Oreochromis niloticus: one gene and its partner. The protein of the gene in region 1 binds, or shares a complex with, the protein of each later gene. Links are inferred from orthologs where the notes say so. Each region holds a gene or a part of one and is shown in the gene's direction. Other genes may lie near its edges.

What was found.
Region 2: polr1h (region 1) and polr1f share a complex: the UniProt entries of both Homo sapiens proteins name them as parts of the RNA polymerase I (Pol I) complex. The link is inferred for Oreochromis niloticus from reciprocal best matches to the Homo sapiens genes POLR1H and POLR1F.

What each region holds. Positions count from the first base shown.
Region 1 is NC_031985.2:37,865,616-37,872,740, reverse strand, and holds the start of polr1h (DNA-directed RNA polymerase I subunit RPA12), read left to right. Parts: upstream 1-4,104; 5' UTR 4,105-4,407; intron 4,408-4,526; 5' UTR 4,527-4,528; coding exon 4,529-4,646; intron 4,647-7,125. Other genes in the region: ddx39b (DEAD (Asp-Glu-Ala-Asp) box polypeptide 39B), read right to left, coding at 1,458-1,680. UniProt on the Homo sapiens protein: Core component of RNA polymerase I (Pol I), a DNA-dependent RNA polymerase which synthesizes ribosomal RNA precursors using the four ribonucleoside triphosphates as substrates. Can mediate Pol I proofreading of the nascent RNA transcript.
Region 2 is NC_031985.2:23,851,175-23,858,520, forward strand, and holds the start of polr1f (DNA-directed RNA polymerase I subunit RPA43), read left to right. Parts: upstream 1-4,323; 5' UTR 4,324-4,354; coding exon 4,355-4,656; intron 4,657-5,923; coding exon 5,924-6,065; intron 6,066-6,305; coding exon 6,306-6,514; intron 6,515-7,346. Other genes in the region: tmem196 (transmembrane protein 196), read left to right, coding at 1-66, 146-217. UniProt on the Homo sapiens protein: Component of RNA polymerase I (Pol I), a DNA-dependent RNA polymerase which synthesizes ribosomal RNA precursors using the four ribonucleoside triphosphates as substrates.

The sequences.
Region 1 (7,125 bases):
GTGCCTTTTCGTTTCCTGCCCCATTTTTTTGGAACAACCTCCCTCAAGATATTAGGGAGGCATGCTCTGTGGAAGTTTTTAAAACTAAGTTGAAGACACATTTGTTCACCCTATCTTACATGTCTTAATTCTATGCCTTCTAGTTTTTAAATTCTTACTGTTTTTTACTTGTATTGCTATGTATCGCTTTTATTCATTTATCTTTTTAGTTTCAAATAGCTGTACAGCACTTTGTTTGAAAGCGCTTTATAAATAAAGTTATTATTATTATTATCATCATTATTATTATTATTAATGGACAGCGGGTGGAATCTGTCTCCACCTTCAGGTTCTTGGAAGAATAACCTTGATCACAAGCTGCTGCTGGCCTTCTACTGCTCCTCAGTGAAGCGCGTACTCTCCTACTGCCTGGCTGTTTGGTACGCAGACGCCACGACGGAGAACAGGAAGGCTGCACAGACTGTAATTAACACCGCCTAAAAAATCTGGCTGCCCTCTGCTATCCCTGGAAGCCATCGCCAGCTCCTCCTGTTTCAGAAAAACCAGGTCCATCAAAGGTGATGGTTACATCACCTCACTCACATCCCGTGAGTGTGAAGGTCCCAAACCTTCACACTCACAAACAGCTTCTTCCCCTTGATAGTTAACAAACACTATGCCCAAACCCCCCACGCCCTGCCAACCACCTCACCAATCTGAGCCATTATCTGAGCAACCCTCATCACTCAGGCCTCTCACATACATGCTCTACAGTCAGACCTTTGCACCACTTCCAAGCACTCCAATCTGTGCCTTAGTCTTTTTTTTTCACATTTTCCTCTAGATTGTACATATGGCTATGTTTGTCATTTATTCCTGCTGTCTATGGAGCACCTATACATTTGTTGTACATTTACAATGACAATAAATGGCATTCTATTCTATTTTGCTGTTTTCACGGTAGGTTTACAATGATTTAGATTGCAAACTGTGATGGGGCGTGGTCTGCGGTGCCGTGTGGACGCACCCCGCCGCGTCCTGGGTTTCGGCACCAGTGTGGTGGAATTAAGGCACGGCGGGACCGCAGATCTGTGTTTTGAGCCATCTTTATTCAACATTTGTCACACCACCACAACCCCACCAACCCCTGAGTCCCCATGTTTTAACACGGTGAGCGTGATTGCGGATGCTGTGCAGGTGCATCCGCACGGCACCGCAGTCCACGCCCCACCACATAAACCTACACAGATTTTCATGTTTTTATCTTCTGTGTTCAGCACATCGAGTTTGAGCATAATGAAATGTGCTATGTAACTAAAATTACCATTGCCAACACAAACCCACCACAGCTCTGTTAAAGGAGGAACTGACATTAATCTTTATCAGACACTTCAAATACAGAGAGAAGATAAAAAGGTGATTAAATTCAGCAATGGTTGTACCAGTTCCACATTTTCCTCCTGGCACCAATTACTTACCCTCAGACGGATGTTCAAACCCACAATCCACTATGGCTCTCAGCAGTTCAGGTTTCAATAGAAAGTCTCTGAATCCAGAGGAGTGAATGGACACATAAGAGCCCTTCACCCCCTCCTTTCTTATCGACACGTCACTTGCACCTCCAACATCTCCAGCCCCTCCGGCCTCCACCTCATCATCCTCGTAGTCCAACAGCTCGTTATCTACGTCGTTTTCTGTCATCCTGACCCTGCTGCGAAACGAGAAAAACAAATGTGGTGTATGAAACTTCAGGAACAAAGAGCTTTTAAACTTTCACAGTGCTAAAAGGATCAACATGGCCAAAGTTATAATTATTGGGGTCAGCATGTGTGCAAAAAGGAGCCAGCAGCTTAGACTTCAGGTTTTTTTTCACTCCTGGTTCGGAGACGTCAGTGAGAGCAAATGTCCTTAATCTAGCTATCTCAAGCTCATGCTCTGAGTGCAGCAGCCCAATCCCCCCTCCCAAAGTCAAGTCCTAATCAACTTCATTGTTATTATACTGACAATTAGACATACATCATTAACCCTGGTCTCCAAGTCCCTTGGAAACATGCAGGACATCGTTCCATACAATCCAGTGTATAAATGAATGACATACATGTGCAGCTCATCACTGTTTCAGAGAAGAACCATTTCTATTTTTACCAAACAAACTATAAACAGAGACCAAAATAGTGCAGAGAAGAATAAAAAAGATTCTTCACCCTCCTCAAAAAATACATAAAAATTAGAGAAAAAAGGGGAGAGAAAACAAATACACTGAAAAATGTCAACAATGTTGAGAAATGATGAATTGCTTTTTAGGCGTTTAGAGATAATTACTATGACCTGCTCCAGTTGAAACAGAGCTGTAGAATGGGGGAGAACGCTGATTTAAGTGACTTTGAACACACCTTGATTATTGGCGCCCTGTATCCTAATCTGAGTACTGCAGAAACGTCTCTGCTAAGGTTTTCCCACACAAATCCAGTGTAAACCCTTTGTAGGGTTTACAGAGAATTGTCCAATAAAAGAGAAAATATCCATGGAGTGCTTTGTTGATGTGTGAGGTCAGAGGAGAATGGCCAGACTGCTAAACTGCTTAGCTACTTGCAGACATGCATCATAACAAAACATAAGATAAATGAAGTGGGCTTACAGAGGCAGGAGAGCACACCAGGTGCCAGTCCTGTCCGCTAACAACACAACAGCAAGGCTACAACTTGAACAACATCATCACAACTGGACAACAGAAGCTTGGAAACCGTTGCCTGGTTTGATGAGTCTGCTACAACACTTGCATGGGAGGGTCAGAATTTAGCACAAACAACATGAGTGTAGATAAATACATATTTTATTGATCCCACATGTTTGTGTTACAGCAGCATGATAACAAATATGAGTAAAAATAGTACAGTCTACAATGGATGTGCAGCTGACAAATCTGCAGGAACTGTGTGATGTTATGATGTCCACATGGGCCACAATCTCTGAGAAAATGTTTTCTGCACTCTGTTAAATTGTTGGTACAAAGAATTCAATCAGAACTAAAAAGGTGTACAAAGGTTACAAAGTGTTTTGAGTGAAAGCAGAATACTTAACACCAGGTACTGTCACACTGGTGCCTATCCCAGCTTTCTTAGGGCAAGAGGCAGGGTACATCCTGGACAGGTCGTCAGTCTGTCACAGGGCTAACACATAGACACAGACAACCATTCACACCCATGGGCAATTTAGAGTTTCCAATTAACCTAACCCCACTAACTGCATGTCTTTGGAGTGTGGGAGGAAGCCGGAGTACTCATAGAAAACCCAGGGAGAACATGCAAACTCCACACATAAAGTGGAGTTGCCTGATGGTGGAACTGAATTCAGGACCTTCTTGCTGTGAGGCAACAGTGCTAACAACTGTGCCACCCTGCAAAATTAATTTATATTGCATAAATGCCAGAATAGTGGTGTGTCTAACATGAGGCACCAACTTGTACGGCAGGCTAGAATTTCTATAAGGACTCCAGTGATGTCCACCACCTCAGGTTGAAAACATGAACCAGTCCACTGTGCTAAAAAACAATTGCCTGGTTTCATTTTGAGCTTCTATTTTGAAGGAATATTCCGGAACTTTTATTTTTATTGTCGCTGAATATTAAATAGCTATAACCACACGCGCAGTTATGTTTTGACTTTTGAAAGTTCAAATCCAGCAGTACTGATATGTCTTTAAGATTTCTTCATCACACTGCAGATCATAACCGACATGAAACTACGGTCGCCATAAAACTGGGACCATCCCCGATGTCTGTTATTCACTCGGGCTCGTCTGATATTACGGCAGCTGACGTAAACACAGCGAGTGGCCTTTTTAGCAATAACCGTAAAAGCAAATTCCAAGTATTCTAAACAGCTAGCTGCAATTAGCTCAGCGGCTAACAAAGAACTCATCATATCCTCACTGGAACATCTCACGGCTCAACATTAAACTTCAGAGAGGTGACAGTCATGTTGCCGCAGGTACTGGTAACGTGCACTGCCTACAGTTCTTTTAATAATCGACATACCTTCACTACGAGAGAGAAAAGTCAACGGCTGTTTAAAGTAAAGCGCGACTGTTAGCGCGTCACAATGACGTGTAGAACGCGACAGACAACCAACCGCTGTAGGACCCGACGGTGTGTAACCATGCAGATGTCAGGCTGAAAGTAACAACAGAGAATCTTTGCTATAAACCGCGTCTTGTTTAGATTGCCAATCCTGTGAAGACATTAAACGGTAAATCATCAAAGTCTTTTGTTAAAGCCTAAGGCTGACGACGAAAGCTGAACACAGCGTTAGTTGACAGTTACAGATTTAATCGACTGCACTTCACGTGTTCAAGTGCCACGTGCGGTGTTTTGCTCCAGTGAGTGTTAGACAACAAAACAACATTACCGCTTTAACTTATTTTGGAAGGTAAGCTCTAAAATGTGAATCGACAAAGCAAAATAAGTCAGTCTAAATTTTTATTCGATACTATTTTACAGTTATTGATAATATCAAAATGTATAACAATAATACTTTACATGAAACAGAGATGTCGTGTTTTGGTGGTGGTCCCAACTTCTGCCCAGAGTGTGGGAATGTTCTTCCTCTCCCAGGAATACCGGACGTAGTGTGCTGCCCCGGCTGCTCTTTTAGGATCCCTGTATCAGGTAAATTCCATATCAGAGTTTATGCGAGTGTGAGCATGAGCAGCAGAGATTTTGCTGCTATCTCACTTTTTGTTTTTCTCATTTCACTTCCATCTTGATATTCCTGTGATATTTATACAGCTTGTACAAATGAAACGGCAAAGCAGAGTAGCTATCTGAGAGCTATCTGCTGTCCATCTTTGGATCATTTTAGTTTCTTGCAGCAAGTGATTGTATTTTCCTAAGCTCAATATACAGTATTGTGGCAAAAGAATTCACTCACTCATCCAAATCACTGAATTTGGTGTTTCAATCACTTCCATGGTCACAGGTGTATAAAATCAAGCACCCAGGCATGCAGACCGCCTCTACAAACATTTGTGAAAGTATGGGTTGTTCTCAGGAGCTCAGTGAGTTCCAGCATGGTAATGTGATAGGATGCCACCTGTGCAACAAGTCCAGTCAAGTCCTCAGTACTAAATATTCCAGAGTCAGCTGTTGGTAGTGGTAAGCAAAGCAGAAGTGATCGGAAACGGCAGCAACTCAGCCACAAAGAGGTGGGGCATGTAAAATCAGAGCAGGGTCAGCAGATGTTGAGGCGCACTGAGTGCAGAGGATGGCAACTTTCTCAGAGTCAATCACTACAGACCTCCAGACTTCATGTGGCCTTCAGATTAGATCAGAACAGTGTGTAAAGAGCTTCATGGGATGGGTTTCCATGACCACCAGCTGCATCCAAGCCTTACATCACCAAATGGAATGCAAAGTGCTGGATGCAGTGGTTTAAAGCAGTGGTGGACTCTACAGCAGTGGAGACCTGTTCTCTGGACTGATGAATCACGCCTCTTTTTCTGGCTATCCGATGGATGAGTCTGGGTTTGGTGGTAGCCAGGAGAGCAGTTCTTGTCTGACTGCATTGAGCCAAGTGTAAAGTTTGGTGGAGGGGGGATTATGGTGTGGGGTTGTTTTTAAGGAGTTATTTCCAGTAAAAGGAACTCTTAATGCTTCAGCAAGCCAGACAGACGATGCTGCACAAAGTGCTTAACAATATAAAAATGCCATTAAAAAGAGACAATGTAAAACAATAATAACAATATAAAACAATGATAGGACAATAAAATAATTAAAACAATAACTAAGACTATTAAAATAAGACAAAAATTTTTGGGTCATAGTGTGTTAAAAGCCAGGGCATAAAAAGTAGTGATTTAAATTGATCAAGTGTTTGTGCAGGTCTAATATTTAGGGGGAGACTATTCCAAAGTCTGGGACCTGCCACAGAGAAAGCTCTATCGCCACGAGATTTGAGATCAGTCCGTGGGATGGAAAGCATTAATTTTGAGCTAGACCTCATGGTTTTTCCTGGAGCATAAACAGAAAGGAGCTCAGACAGGTAAGAAGGGGCTCGGACGTTAAGTGACTTTAAAACAAAAAGTAAAAGTTTAAATTGGATCCTGTAGGAGACAGGAAGCCAGTGTAGAGAAGCTAAAACTGGGGTTATATGCTCTCTCCGTTTGGTCCCAGTTAGCAGGCGAGCAGCTGCATTTTGGACCATCTGAAGACAATGAATGGAGTTCTGGTCGAGACCAAAATACAATGAATTGCAGTAGTCCAACCTGCAAGTAAGGAAGAGGCGAATAACACGTTCAAAGACGTTAGCCGGGAAGTATGGCTTTACCTTGGCCAGCTGTCTTAACTGAAAGAATCAGAACTGGACTACTGCACTCACCTGCTTATTCAATTTAAAAGAACCATCAAGGTAGACACCAAGGTTTTTTACATGTGTTTTACAATAGGAGGAAAAGGGGCCTAGAGTGCTATCGATGTGATTATTGACAAAGTTGCCGAAAATGACAACTTAAGTTTTATTTTCATTTAGCTTTAGAAAATTTAACGACATCCACTGTTTGATGTCGTCAAGGCAGCGTAATAAGAGCTGGGGACGGTCAGACCCTGCTTTTAAAGGCAGATAAATCTGCAAATCATCAGCGAAACAGTGGAATGAAATGTTGTAACACGAGAAGATGGAACCCAATGGCAACAAATAGAGTGCAAACAGGGCAGGACCCAAAATAGAGCCTTGAGGTACACCGTATTTAAGAGGGGCTAGTTTGGAGTTATGGGGGCCATATTGACATAAAAAGACCTTCCTGACAAGTAGGACCGAAACCACTGTAGGGCAGATCCCTTTAGGCCAGCATGAAATTCTAGCCGTCATAACAGGATGTCATGGTCGACCGTGTCAAAAGCTGCTGACAGGTCCAACAATAAAAGGGCAGCAGGGCTACCAGAGTCCAGAGTTAAAAGAATATCATTAAAAATCCTTAAAAGTGCCGTCTCAGTGCTATGTAATGATTTAAAACCAGATTGAATTTTTTCAGAAATCACATTCAAATCAAGGTGGGCCTGCAACTGTAAGTAGACCACTTTCTCCAAAACTTTAGACAGTAAAGGAAGCTTTGAGATTGGCCTGTAATTGGACAGAACAGTTGGGTCCAGG
Region 2 (7,346 bases), about 14 Mb from region 1:
GAGCAGCAAAGGATGTTCTTGGAGAGGGAACACTCGCTACATCATTCCCATGAGATGACAGAGAAGGTAGTAAACTGCATGATTCATCTTCAGCCGCTGTTGGAAGTGTTTGTTAAGCAGGTTTGTGTTTGTGTGTCTCTAACAGGAGGTCCTGGACAACTCCAGTAATGGTATTCCTCAGATCTCCTATAATGGACACACCGCGGCGTCTCCTTGAGGAAGTTTCAGCAGGAGATGATTTGCAGTCTTAAACAGGAGCAGTTACTAAAACTCATGCTGTCACGCAGCTAATGCAGCTTGTAGTAGACTGCGTTTAACTGTATCCTGACTGCAGGGACTGAACCAAATTTGTCGCCTTGGAACCCGTTTACCTGCTGACTGAGTGAAGCGGACGGCATGAAGGAGCCGTTTGTGCTTCTGAATATTATGCAAACATGGGTTCAAATACCTTCGGTTTAACTCACACCAAAGCCGGGATGGTGAGCTGCCGTTTGGATGACAAATGAGGTGACAGACATCTGCGTGAAATCCTCCAATTTGTGAGCGGGAAGGATACATTTCATCCAGTCAGATCAAAGTGATGAGCACAAACCAAGCATGCAGCTGATTCACTTGTTTAGAAGAGCTATTTCAGTCTCATCGTCCTTATTCTCTCCCTCTCTGTCATGTTATTGGTTTATGGAATCCAGATCTTGAGATAGCCTTTGGTAAACTGTATGTATCATCTGATAATGGAATGCTTTGAGAGAAAAAAATTACAGTAATGCACAATGTACTGTATGTATCCATGCTTGTAAATCAAACATATTTTTATAATGCTTCTTATAAAGTTCATTCAATTAAAGTACGACTAATAAAAGAATTGCACAGTCTTGCATTTTGTTTTACTGTTGCTCTGTTAAATACATGTTGAGATGAATCTGGTTTTATGATCGCTGTTTATGCAGACTAGCCTTTTTTTTACTTACATAGTTGCCAGTTTGTGTGTTTATAGTACATGAACATGCATGTTTGTGGAAGTGTGTTTGTGTTTGTGAAGTATGTGAGGTTTAAGTAAAATTGTGATGGGAATTACTTTTCAGTTCGTAAGCCAGATTTCAGCATTTTAATCAATACACTACATCATTGTAGGTGATAGTAACACCCAAAGGTTAAAATAACACACTGAAAAATCGCACTACGAAGAACCGTATTTAAATGACTCAGTCATATTAACGAAATCCAGGTGGGGTTTTTTTCAAAACACACATTAGAGAGCAACCATCTCACACCTTGTGGGCGGTCTGCAAGCTCGGGTCCTCTACCAGAACCTGGGAGCTTGAGGGTCCTGCGCAGTATCTTTGCTGTTTCTAGGACTGTGCTCTTCTGTACACAGATCTTGGGTGTTGTTCCTGGGATCTGCTGGAGCTACTCGCCCTGTTCAGGGAGTCACTGCACCGAGTAATCCGATTACCACTGGGATCACTGTTACTTTCACCCTCCACATCTTCTCGAGTTCCTCTCTCAGCCATTGGTACTTCTCGAGCTTCTCGTGATCCTTCTTCCTAATTCCTATCACTCGGTATACAGCCGTCTTGCTCTGCTTGTCCACCACTACTATGTCCGGTTGGTTAGCCATCACCAGTTTGTCTGTCTGTATCTGGAAGTCCCACAGGATCTTAGCTTGGTCATTCTCGACAACCCAGGGGGTGTGTCCCATTTTGATCTTGGGACTTCAAGGTGATACTCAGCACGGATGTTTCTGTATACTATGTTGGCCACTTGGTTATGGCGTTCCACGTATGCCATGCCTGTTAGCATCTTGCATCCTGCTGTTATGTGTTGGACTGTCTCAGGGGCATCTTTACACAGCCTACACCTGTGGTCTTGCCTGGTGTGGTAGACCCCAGCCTCTATCAATCCTGTGCTTAGAATTTCTCTATAACTGACAATGGCACATGCCGTGCAGGGGCCTGTCCTTCCATGATGGTTCCTCTTCTTGCTCCTCTTCTTTCTGGGAATACTGCTGCCTGAATGCCTGGATATTTATTTACTATCCTGGATAGTGTTTCTGAAACTCTGTGCTCTTCTGCCTCCTTCCTTCTGCTTAGAGTAAAGTCTCAGGGAGCTGGACTTGGGGTGAAACCAAAGCCATGATATTCTCTTCCAGGTCAGCTGTTCTTGCATTCAAAGTACCAGTTGTTTTGGGGGGCTTGATACCCAGAAAGTGTGGAGATGATGACATTCCTCTGACATAATGTCCCCTTATTTTTTGTGTTGTACCTAATCAGTCACTCATTGCAATAGCAGTTGCATCTTGTGGATGTTGGAGCACTGAAGTTCAAGTTTGATGTTTGTCTAGATGCTGGTTGTCAAAGAACCCATAGATCCCACATCCTCATGTAATCCCTGTGTAATACCATCCAGCAGTTATCTATTTTTGCTTGTCCACTCATGCCTTATACTTCTTCTTTTATTTTATGTGCCATTTTATTCACTGAGTCATTTACAAACTATGTACTTATGCATTATTTCCTCTACCACATTTGTCCCCAATATATTTCCTGTCTCTATTTTTTAATTTAACATTTTTAATTTCTTTATCCAGTATGGTTCTTTTATAACTAAGCTATTAAATAATGAAAAAATCAGTAAATAACAAGGGAAGTTATATAGGAAAATGCATAGCAGGAGAATTAATAGAGACTGAATTAAATACAAAGAAAATGATCAAAATGATCAAAATCCATGTTGATGGTTATAATGACAATAATATATTTGTTGGGTTGAATTTTAGATTTTGGCAGTTCCAGTCCTTCATAGCATCATCAATTCAGAAAGCCACTGCATTCTCATGAGACCACAGTTTAAGGCAATGATGATGCTGTTCAGGGTTCCCACACTTGTCGTAAAGTTAAGTGACAAAGTAAATCAGTTTCATAGCACCCGTCAGACCTGCAAGCTTAAAATGCTTCACAAAGGAGGAAGAGCAATAAAAACCTGTTTCCTCCACACAGATGCTTGCACACAGACACAGCTGTGACCTCTTATGAAGATAAGCTCTGACAACATCATTGCTGCTCAGCACCTCATTACAGTGTTCGCCAACTCCAGAGAGAAGCTCCAAACAGAGATGTGTGTGCATCTGTGTGCATTTATGCATGTTTGTGTGCTGACTGGGGCCCACAGCAGCAGAAGCCACAGGGAGCTAAGAAACCATGCACTATTTATCACCGTGACAACAGACAGGAAAGGGCCATGGCTCCTAACAGAGCACCGGGTCTGCGATTCCTGTGAGAGTGTGTGTGATAAAGAGAGAGAAACGCTGAATCATGTGACCTCCTGCGGTGCTGCCCTGTCAGAAAACAGTAACACTAGATACATCTGTGCATGTGTCAGGATATTTTCAGTGTATGCCTGTGTGTATGGCTGGACACGCTGCACTAGTTGCACTAATTGACACCTCAGGTCACCCTAATGATCTTAATGTGGCTCTGCGGGTGAGAATGGGATACAGAATCAATGATCACCTCCTACCACACGAGCTCCCTAACAGCATCCCTGCCAGGCCTATCAGGGCCGAACTTGTAGATTACATAACAAAGGGCATCAGGTAACTTACGTAAGCATCATAACAGCTACTTACAACAGCAAAGCCACATGGTGCTCGTTTTAATTTGCTAAAATTTTGTCTAAAGCTAAAAGTGATGCTGGCGAATGCCTGAGCCTACTTCTGCAGGAGGTTTCTTCCTGTTAAAGAGGAGTTCTTCCTTCCCACTGCCGCCAGGTGCTTGCTCAGATGAAACATATTTATCTGTGGCTGCAGTTACTTTGCAGGGCTAAATTTAATTTACAAATTTAAAATGTGAAAATGAAATAGCCACTCGGAATAAGTTCACCATGTTACACAGGACATTCATTATTTAAACTAACAGACAGTTTGGCCACATGCAATATTTAAATCCATCAACATGTTATGCCAGGAAACATTAAAGCATTACTGCACACAGACTATCCATGAACAGCCATTAAGTCTGCAGTCACTCATTTATCATCGTTAAACAGTGTAAAAGTGTTTTGATGATGATTCAGTCTGTGCTCTGCAGACAAAAGGGGCAGTAAGTTATACAATTCTTCATATTTTCTAATTATTTCAAGGTTTTTAGAATATTTCTGTGTCTAAAAAACTATTAAACACAATACTTTTTGACAATCATTACGTAAAGATAGTGAATGGGATCTAAAATAAACTATGAAATAAGCTTGCAGTATGAAGTTTGTGGGGTGCGCTTCTCTTCTTCACCAGCAGGGGGCAACAATAACAAATGCAAAGCGGAAGTCACCTCTTGTTTGTCTTCCGGTCTTTCTACGCAACATGGCGAATTTGGAGCATGGTGAAGACAACCCAAAACATGTGAGAATGTCCGGTGAAACTCCCGACGCGTCCGTCCCGGACCAGGCGGCCCAAGAGACCCCAGCACCGGTAAACACTGCTGCCGCCCTCCCGTTATCGATCCCGTCGTTCGCCGCTGCCTCCGAGCTGTTGTCAGCGCCGTACTCGTGTCTGGTCATGAACACCCACCGGAGACACATCGCCCTGCCGCCCGTGTATCTGAACAAGAAGAAGACGGGGATAAAGGAGGAGCTGGAGGCCGAGCTGCTCAAGTTCTCTCAAAGGTGCTTCTTTTTTTCCCCCGCCGACGATTTTATCCAGTCAATAAAGCATTTTCAGCCGGACAGTCCACTTTCCCACGTACGCAAACACGCACACGAGCTGGGATGTCTTCTAGCCGTCTCGTGTGTTGTAAAAGTTCATGAACCTAGTAGCTACGCATGAAACGCAGACTTTCAGCTTTAATTCAGGGACTTTAACAAAATCAGTGCATTGTTTGTCCGGAAAATACAGCCATAGACACATAATCTAACTCCGTTTAAATGTGTTTTTAAATCCCTTACAGTCAATGAGTGCCTAAAGTCTAAAAGTCATGAACATCACATCACCAACTGCGGTTTCTTCCTTTGAGAAGCTCTAGCAGGTCTTTACTGCAGCCAGCAGTTGCTGCTTATTTGTGGGCAATAACTGCATTCAATTGTTAGTTCAGTAACTGAAAACCTGCTGTATTTGGTAGAGATCAGGTAACTTGGCCATTGACGATTATCTCTGCTCTTTCCCTCGGGAAACCCTTGGGGATTTGCAGTGTGCTTCGGGTCATTGTCCATTTGCACTGTAAAGCACTGGCTGATTAGTTTTGCAGCATTTGTCTGAATCTGAGCAGAGACGATCCCCAGGTCGTCCTGCTGTCACATTATCTATAAACACCAGCGATGCAGCTCCACAGGCAGCCATGCATGCTCATGCTTTAATACTTCCTCCACCGGGTTGACAGATGATTTTGCTCTCTCTTATAGCTTTACTTTGGTTTCTCAGCCTGATGAAGATCATCTTTGTGTGCACTGATATCTCTTTGGGCCACATAATGATAATTCCAGGGAACAGCTACAAAATACAAGTTTAAAATTCTTTATTCTCCAGATCCTTTATCCTTTATCTGCTTAATTTATTGTTTAACAGAGAGAGCAGGCCTCTCCTGGCTAAAAACAGACACCTGTTACTCAGTGTTACTGAACTGTCCCGTTACTTGTGAGCCTCTGAAAATTGAGGATTAAACAGTTAATGTAGTTATTTTGTTAAACCCCTCCGAGTTAAAGTTTATAATCTGAACTTGAATCACATCTTAATGGTTTGTTTTAGAATCCACTGTGGTGCTCTGCAGAGGTAAAAGTACAAACAATGTGTGATTGTCTGCAAAATGTATTTTATGCATGAATCACTGAGCGTGGCCTCGGTGAGGCATTAAAACCAGTAATGGTAACGCAAAAAGGTTTTTCAGTTTAAATAAACTGTTAATGCACAAGATGACCTCGTTACTGTTGTGTCTTTCAGTCTGAACGGAGTCCCCTTAGCCTACGACGACATCAGGATAGTGAGACACCTCGGAGACATTTACGACGACAGCGGCTACATCCACGTGGACGTGGAAGCCAGCTTTATTGTTTTTCAGCCGCAAAAAGGACAAAAACTACGGGTGAGATTTACATTTACATTATTTAGTAGAAGCGGAGAAGCTGACGGGACTTTACCTGACATATAGTGTCTGTTAAACGAGACCTGCACTTTTCAGTGTTTACTATTGTTGTAATATTCAAACAAGTGACATATTAAAACCTGCTGCTCTGAGGCGTACCTGTATTTTGTGGGAGTGATAAAGTGCCTCTGATAAAATACAATAACTAACAGCGTGTATCACGTATTTGTCTGTTTGTAGGGTAAGGTAAATAAACTGGGAATAAGCCACGTAGGCTGCTTGGTGCACGGCTGCTTCAATGCCAGCATTCCCAGACCGAATCTGGTTTCTGTGGAAACATGGAGAGACGCGGGGCCGAGGATCGGATCAGAGGTGGAGTTTGATGTGACGGCGCTCGACGCCGACACTGCTGGGGTGCTGCTGATCAGAGGACGACTGGACAAGACCAGGCAAGTGTGCAGTATCAGTGATGGTGATTTTAGTAGCTTCGGGGCAAAACTAAAGGCCCCAGTGTACTCGTCACTTTGTGCACTGCCGGTAGCATCATCACACGAGTAGCCACTGCAGTATTCTCCTGAACGATAGGCGAGCAACTCAGACCTTCACATCAGCGCTGGTATGGGAGGAGAAAAAGTCAAAGCGACGTTAAACAGCACGATTGTACACTTGTGTCTTCAGCCCGGCTGAGCAATGTATGACTACATGTACTGAACAAGGCATTTAGTCAACAAAATCCAAATGTACAACAAAATTGTCTCTGAATCACATTTCATCTGGACTGTGGAGATAAAGAGAGTAACAACAATTCAAATTCTGAATCATCTACAAGATCAAAACAAGTTTAAAACTGAATCTAACGTTATAGGAAGAGAGCGCAGGCAGGATGGAGACGAGTGTTGGGGCTGATTTATGACAGAAGGAAAGAAGCAAGAGTGAAAAGGAAGGTTTATAAGATGACCTGCTCTGATGTATGGCTCTGAGATGGTGGCGCTGACGAAAAGAGAGGAGGCTGAGTTCGAAATGTTAAGATTTTCACTGGAAGTGCCCAGAATGGACAGGATTAGAAATGAGAAAATCAGAGGGACAGCTCCGGTTGAGCGGTACATGTGCAGAGGAGGGATGCTGGATATATGGGACAAAGGATGCTGAAGATGGAGCTGCCTGAGAGGAGGAAAACAGGAAGACCTCAGAGGAGGAGGATGCTAGAGATGCTATGCTCCCTTTAGGAGTTGCTACATCACTGAAGATGAAAATGAAGAAGTCTAACTTTATAGGTGAAAC